Linked DNA regions of Notamacropus eugenii. Each later gene encodes a partner of the first gene's protein in a complex. Links are inferred from orthologs where the notes say so. Each region holds a gene or a part of one and is shown on either strand. Other genes may lie near its edges.

Evidence for each region.
Region 2: the proteins of PLEKHM1 (region 1) and MAP1LC3C are in contact, whole or in part, in a crystal structure (PDB 5DPW), measured with the Homo sapiens proteins. The link is inferred for Notamacropus eugenii from reciprocal best matches to the Homo sapiens genes PLEKHM1 and MAP1LC3C. Residues at the interface, in NP_055613.1 of Homo sapiens: Glu632, Asp633, Glu634, Trp635, Val636, Asn637, Val638, Gln639, Tyr640; in NP_001004343.1 of Homo sapiens: Phe13, Arg16, Lys17, Glu25, Ile29, Phe33, Lys36, Pro38, Asp54, Lys55, Thr56, Lys57, Phe58, Leu59, Val60, Pro61, Glu63, Leu64, Ile72, Arg76, Phe114.

What each region holds. Positions count from the first base shown.
Region 1 is NC_092873.1:348,256,824-348,260,739, reverse strand, and holds the start of PLEKHM1 (pleckstrin homology domain-containing family M member 1), read right to left. Parts: upstream 2,394-3,916; 5' UTR 2,305-2,393; intron 1-2,304. UniProt on the Homo sapiens protein: Acts as a multivalent adapter protein that regulates Rab7-dependent and HOPS complex-dependent fusion events in the endolysosomal system and couples autophagic and the endocytic trafficking pathways.
Region 2 is NC_092873.1:402,776,012-402,779,927, reverse strand, and holds the start of MAP1LC3C (microtubule-associated protein 1 light chain 3 gamma), read left to right. Parts: upstream 1-1,314; 5' UTR 1,315-1,477; coding exon 1,478-1,535; intron 1,536-1,644; coding exon 1,645-1,700; intron 1,701-1,912; coding exon 1,913-2,019; intron 2,020-3,916.

The DNA.
Region 1 (3,916 bases):
GTAGTGTTGGGGCCTGGAGACAGTGATCTGAAAAAGAAGTCCTAACCAGGAGCAGGGCTAAGTAAGAGGTGGGGAGTCTGGACCAAAAAAAGACCAACCCCCTTTAAACTCCTCTGAAACATTTGGCACTGCTGCTGACTACCCTCTCCTAGATATTCTTTCCTTGAACTTTCTGTTTTCCTATTCTCTCTTGGTTCTTTCCACTGACAGTCTGACAGTTTCAATATATCACACAAATCTGTCTACTGGATTTTTATCGAAGTCAAATCCAGTAAGTGTGGTTGTACATTAAGTTTTTTTTTCTTTATACTCACTTGGTGATCCCTCAGCTCACATGAGTTCAATTATTATCTATATGCAGATAAATACACGCACGCACGCACGCACACACACACACACCCGATAGTCCTAGACCTTCTACTACACCACCTATTAGATATTTTGAACTGGAGCTCAAATTCAACAAGCCCAAAATAGAATTGTTTCTCTTTTCTCTCAAAACGACTTCTTTTCTGAACTGCCCTAATACTGTACAGGGCAATACCATCCTTCATGTCACCCAGGTTTGCAACCTCAATGCCACGCTTTTGTTGTTATTTTTCAGTCTATACAGTTGTGCCTAACTCTTAGTGACCATATTGAGGATTTTCTTGGCAAAGGTACTGGAGTGGTTTGTCATTTCCTTCACCTGCTCATTTTACAGAGGAGGAAACTGAGGCAAACAGGGTTAAGTGACTTGCCCAGGGTCACACAGTCAGGAAGTGTCTGAGGCCAGATCTTCCTGAGTTCAGATGAGTCCTCCTGACTCCAGGATTGGCACTCTATCCACTGGATCACCTAGCTGCCCCAATGTCATGCTAGACTCCCTCCTTCTCACTCACCCTCTTATATCCAATCAACTAACAAAATCTGTTATCTCTATCCACACAGCATCTCAGGCATAAGACACCCCCCTCCTTTTTTCACAAGCACCACACAAGTTCAGCCCTTCATCACCTCTTACTTGAAAAAATATTGCAGTACTTTCTAATGAGTCTCCCTGCTTCACTTCTCTCCCCTCTCCATACTGTTGTTAAAAGTGATTTTTCTAAAGTGCAGGTCTGATCATATAACTGCCCTATCCCAAAGTCCCCAAATTCTTCACTTCTTACGACTTCTAGGATCAAATACAACACCCGATTTGGCATTTAATTCTCTATAACCTGGTCTCTTTTAATCTTCCTATTTTTCTTACGTTAATCATAGCTAGCATTCACATGGGCCACAAGAACCCTATGAGAAAAGGTGCTACTGTCATCCACATTTGACAGATGAGGACACGGAGGTTAACTGACTTGCCCAGAGTTATATGGCAAGCATGAGGCAGGATCTGAACTCCAGATCCAGTCCTATCCACCATGCCACCTAGGTGGCTTTGGTCATTACCTTTACCCCAAAAAGGCGCCCCCCTCCAAACTTGCCTTTTCCTGGAGAGGGCATCACTACATTCCGATCACCCAAGCTCCCAAGCTCGATGTCATCCTCTCCTCCTCCCCTGTCCCACATGTCCAATCCATCAGCTGCCCCACTCCACCAAGCCCACAGTCCAAGCCGAAGGGCCCGTCTCTGTGCCTTCTCACCTCAGCCTCCTGGAACTCCTCAAGTTGCCCCTGCACGGGGGCTTCCCAGCCCAGTCCTGTCCTGTCCTGCCCAGCCCAGCCCAGCCCCAGCCCCCCGAAGCAGGCGCCTCTGCGTCCATCTCCCCGTTAGAACGCGAACTCCTCCAGAGGAAGGCCGGCCTCTGCGTGCCCCCTCCCCCCACGGTACCCCGGCGCTTAGCGCTTAATAAATGCTTGGCGATGGAGTGATCTGAATGGGAGAGTGGAGAACCGTGTGTGGCGGGTCAGGTTCGGAGGCTGAAACGGGGGGGTCTGACGGGTCGGGCAGAAAGCCTCGAGGGGACGCATTAGCGGGAAGAGTTGGGGGGGGGCTGAAGCAGGGGAAGGAGGAAGACGTGGGAAAGGGGGAGCCGAGGGCTTAAGAGAGCTGAAGGGAGGGATCGCGGTGAGGAGGTGGTGATGGGCTAGGGGGCAGGGAGGCCGGTCCAGGGTGGGAAATCTGGGGGAGGGGGCGTGGTGGGGACGAGCGTCAGGTGGGGGCAAGGGCACGGGCGTGCGGGGACGGCCCGGGGGGTCCTGGAGGAGGGTCCGGGAGGGGGGCGAGAGGGGCAAGCGGGATGGGGGGTCTGGGACACGGACCTTCTCTGGGACCCGGTCTGAGTTCCCTCCATCCCCGACCGCTGCCTCACGGGGACCCCAGACTCACCTCAGGGTAGACGAAGAGCACTAGAACTGCCTCCAGACTCTACCCTTGCGCCTCTGACCGGAAGCTGCGGCCTCCCGGGCAGAGAAAACAGGAAGCTGCTCCGGCCGCTGATGACGCCATCACGTCAGCCTGGAGTGAGCCCCGCCCCCTGTCCCGTGTAGCCAATCCCCGGCCTCGAGGTCCCGTGGGGGTGGGGCTTGTGGCTCGGGAGACCGCACGTGGAGGTGGCACACTCGGGTCGGGACTGCGGCTAGGGGCCGGTTATTACGCTAACCATTTGTCAGCCCCTGGGCAGGGAGACCCTGCGGAAAGGGCTCGTCTGGCGCACTCCTGCGGACTGGCTCGGCCCAGCGGCCGCTTGGAGCCGAAAGTCCCCCAGCCTCTGTTCCCGACCCTCTTTTAGGACCTCAGTTTCCTTGTGTTCAGATGACGGGGCTGGACCCACCAACCAACCTTAACTGATGTAACGCCTTAGAGAAGCAGCCCGGTGCGGTGGCTGGGAGTGCCGGCCTCAACGCTAGGAAAGGCCTGGGTTCGAGTCCCACCTGTGACACGTCCTGACAGGGTGACCCTGGAGAAGACGCTTAATAACTCACTGTGTGTGTGTGTGTGTGTGTGTGTGTGTGAATGGATAGAGAGGGACTAGATCTTTGCGATTTCATTGGTACAGGGAATATATATATATGTGTACACATATGTGTGTGTATATATATGTGTGTGTGTGTATATATATATATATATACCAAGGGTCAAGACAACAAGCATTTATTAAGCGCCTACTGTATGCCAAGCACTGTGTGAGACAAAGAAAAGCAAAATAAAACCAAAAACAGACTCACTCTCCCGAGTCAAATGGGAGAGAGGACAAACAGCTTACAAAGAAAATACAGGACAAAGTAGAGATAATCTTATTAAAGAAGGAGCTTTTAAAGGTTCTCTTTTCTTGTTTTGCAGTTTAAAAAGCCCAGCCCTTGCAACCATCATAGTCAAGTAAAACAAATGGACTCCTTTGGCAGCCTGGCGTAGACTTTGGAACTCTTCTCAGAATGTTTTTAAATGCATAAAATAAAATATACAGGCATAGAAAGGAAACTAGTGTTGAAATCAAAATATTTTTCAAAAGCAAGTTCATGGACCCCCAAGTTAAGAACCCTTGATGTATGTTGATTAAGTTGCCGAGATGGTGCTGTCCAGCATCAGTTGAGAGAGTTTGCTCTTGTTGGAGTTCCCTGTACCAATGAAATAGCAAAGATCTAGTCCCTCTCTTTATCCTTAACAATTTACAAGCATCCATTAACAATGTTGCGATCCCCATTTTAAGTGACTTGCCCAAGGTCACACATTTTTTAAGTCCAAGTGATCAGGTGAGCCCGAATCTTTTTTTATTTTTAATTAAGTGCTCTTTTTACACTACTGAGAGAAATGATAACTAAATAACCAATTATTGGAGAGATGCAGGGTTTTTTTTCCTTCCTATTTCCTCATTCTCTACTAGGTCAAATCCTTGCCTTGCCTTTCCACATAGGGTGTCATACATATCCTTACCTGCTGGTGCTTGTGCAAAGGAATATAAATTTTGATTGCTGAAACCTTCTAAGACATCTTGGGGTTT
Region 2 (3,916 bases), about 55 Mb from region 1:
TAGTAACTTATGATGCAAAGATGAATCAGACATGATTTCTTCTCTCAGGATGGTTGTAGTCTAATAGGAGAGAAGGGATATGTATACAAATATCTCTAATACTTCCTACTAACATTACAAATATAGATATGGATAAGTACATAGGAAGGATTCAAAGATTGCATAAAAGAGTAAAGCAAGAGAGGTATCCCTTTCACCTACAGAGAATAAGGAAACGCTTTAGGGGGACCCAGGCCAGAATTATACCTTTATGGTTGAAAATGATTTCAACAGGTAGAGTTAAAAAGAATTAACTAAAAGCACAAGGGATGCTATAAGAAAAGAGATAGGAAAGGACTGGATCTAGTAAGGGAGTGACAAGTGGGTCAGTTTGGCTAAAGGATAAAGTTAATTACAAGGAGAAATCTAACATGAGACTGGTAAGGTAGGTTAGAGTACAGTGTGAACCTCTAAGGAGTTTAGACTTTATGTTAAAAAGCAGTAGAGAGTCATTAAAGATTTTTTGAGTACGGAGTAACATGATTTGAAGAAGACTTTGACAATGGGATATTTATATGTTTTTATAACATAATTAAGGTAACAACTGTATATTTAAAGCAAGGGGAAAAACTAAGGCAGAAGGATCAGTTAGGAGGTTATTGAAATATTCCCACCAGTAAAGTAACAAAGAATGCAACTGGGCTGGTAACACTGTGAAGGATAAGATTAAGAGAGATGCAAAAGACCTGGAGTAGGAAATGACCACTGATGAGATGCAGGTGTTGAAGAGAGAGGAGTCAAAGGTGGTTTTTGAGTTTGAAACCTGAGAGACGAGTAAAAGGTACTACTAACTAACTCAGCTTCTTCGTCTATAAAATAGGGAATCTTGGGAATAATGTTTGTCTTCCATCTCTTATGACATCTATCCCTCAGTAGGATTCTATGAGGGGGAAATGATATGCTAAAGTCAAGAACAAATTCAAAATAGAACTTTGCTGTAACACTTGATTCTAGGTCAGAATTCAGTATAATGCAGATCAATCTTGGACTCCCCCCAAGAGGACATAGTTACGGAAATACCCAAAGAGCTTTAGTATGAGGAATTTTCACCTCTGAAGAATTTCATGGAATAGGCTAGGTAGGAAGATAGTGGTATAAGGATGCCTTCATTCCTTTAGCCGTAAAGGGGAAAATGTTCTCTGATAATGAGCAAAGCAACTTTGGACTTGCTCTGACTAACAAAACAGACCCACTTTTCCATTCCCATCTGTGAGGCTGACCTCTACTTCACAGGCTGTGGGTTTGGGTTGTGAGGGGTGGGGGGGAAAAGGGGAGGGGGAAAACATGATGTCACACCCAGGACTATATAAGGTACTTCATTAGGCTCTTGCAGACAGTTTGAAAGCAGCTGGAGAAAAAGAAATAGCACAGCCCTTCATTACTGGGGAATTTAAAAATTTACATTAAGTCAATCCTCACAGAAAACCTGTTGAATAAAATGCAACCTCAGCAGAAAAGTCAATCCATTCGACCTTTCAAGCAACGGAAAAGCTTAGGTACAACTAAGGGGGATCCTCCTAGGAGAGGAGAGGTGGGGAACGAGGGGAAAGGATGGATACAGACCTCATTTCATTTGTTTGATTAACTCTTCGTGTGCCATTACAGCAATCAGAAAAGAGGAAGTTGCTGGGATCCGGGAAAAGTTCCCAAGCAAGATACCGGTAAGGAGGTCCCTGTGGTAGAAGGTGGGTGGGATAATGGTACTGTCTTGAGCCGTGATCAATAAAGTATTGGAACAACCACAGGGCCCCGTGATACACTCTCCCACTAACTCCCACCTGGACTCAGTGATTCCAGGCAAGCGATCTTGTTCAGTTCCACTCAGAAGGGAGCAATTGGCTTTGCTTCAATTTATGTTTAAACGTTTTAACAGGTGATAGTTGAACGTTATCAGAAGGAGAAATACCTTCCCCCGCTGGACAAAACCAAATTCCTCGTTCCCCAGGAGCTGACCATGACTCAGTTTCTAACTATCATTAGGTAGGTGGCAAAACTAGAGACACCGTTCTGTAGGTACGGGAGGGGTGGGAGGAGTCAGGGAGAAGAGCTTCTCTTGGACTAGCTCTGGGAGGGGGAGTCTGTCTGTGATTCACCCTTTCTCTTCAGGGTGGCCAGGAAATGTTGAACTGGTGCTTAACCTCTTGGAGTATCCTAGCTTGGAGAGCCCCAGCCTGATAGAGCTAAAGTGAGCATTACTTGAGTTATCCTAAAGTCACAGGTGCTTTTTTTTTTAATCACCTGAGAAGCCTTTTATTCCCTCCTTTTGGAATTTATTCCAGAATTTAAAAAGAAGCTATCCAGAGCTTAGTGCAAAAAAGCCTAGTTTCAAGTCACTCTGACTTTATGAATTAAAAATTCATGACTACTCACTGTGTACTCTGTCTCCCTCTGTGTCTTTGTACATATCTCTGTATGTCGCTGTGTCTTTTTGTTTCTATGTGTTTTCTCTGTATATGTCTTTGTGTGTCTCTGTTGACATGTGTCTGTGTCTCTGTACATGTCTCTGTGCCTTTCTGTGATTTAGTATGACTGTCCTTTTCTTTGTCTCTGTGTCTCAAAAAAAAACAAAAACAAAAACAAATCCAGAGCAGCTTGGAGTAGGAGTACCTGCTACCTCCACTATCTTCCCTCTTACGTCCTCCACCAGCAAAATAGGATAGAATTGAAGGAACAGGACAGAAAATTGCCTTCTGGAAACCAAACATAAAGAGGTAGAATTGGAGCATTGGATCATAGAGCTCTAGCTGGAATGGAGCTAGTAAGCCATCTAGTTCAATCCCCACATTTTACCGATGAGGAAACTGAAGTTCAAAGAGGCTAGCTGGCTTGTCTGAAACCATACCCAGAGTGAGCATCAGAGTTAGGGGTTGAAAACAGCTCCTCAGACTTGAGAGACAGTGCCTGTTCCAATGACCCAAGCTGCCTTGCCTATCCATCAATCAGGCAACATTTATGAAGCACCTACTGTGTATCAGGCACTGTGCTAAGCACATCATCACCTAACATATGGATTCAATAAAAAGTATTTGGAGCTAAAAATAGATGTCTAAGAGCTAAGTAACTATGATTTACTGTATAATTCTCCACCAAAACAAAAAAAAAAAAGGAAGCTAGGGACTTTCCTTGGGGAGTTTTGTAACTTAAATAAGCTGTTTCTCCCTACATCTCATTTGGTGATCATTGCTTAAGCATCTATTATGTTGGAGGCACTCAACCAAGCAGCTGGTGCTACAAGGATGATTCCATGATAGCCTGGGCCAAAAAGTTTACCAAGGAGTAACAGGACCATGTGTACACACATAAGTGTAATGTAAGGCAGAATGTGACAGTAATTTCTTCTACAGTTATCTTCCTTGTACTTTGTAGATTGAAATGCTTACATGAATCAAAGATGGTTAAATTCATAACAAGACATTTTTATGTGAATATACCATAAACGAGTTCAAGAAAATTAAGAAGAGAAGAACATTCCTACCTTTATTTTTGGAAGGTAGAAATCTTATTGACAAGACTTTTTTTTCCTTAGTATAGTCCTCCATACTGTATTTTTCTCTATTCTTGTCATGGAAGTTACTGTGCTGAAACCATCCCTATGTTAATTGGGAGGAAACAGAAGGTGAACAATTAGACTTTTTTTTTTTTTTTAACACTAGGTCTCCCTGTCTCACCCAGACAGTAAGTGCAGTGGCCAGTGATGAACTGACCTGCTGTTAATTGGTACTGAAATTTTGACTTGCCATGTTTTTTCCACCTAGGTGGGTCACTATTCTTTAGTCAGCCTGTTGGCCCTTCGTTCTAGATAAGAATACTGGACCTGGAGTCAGGAAAGCCTCAATTCAATCCTGCCTCAGACACTTACCAGCTGTGTGAACCTGGG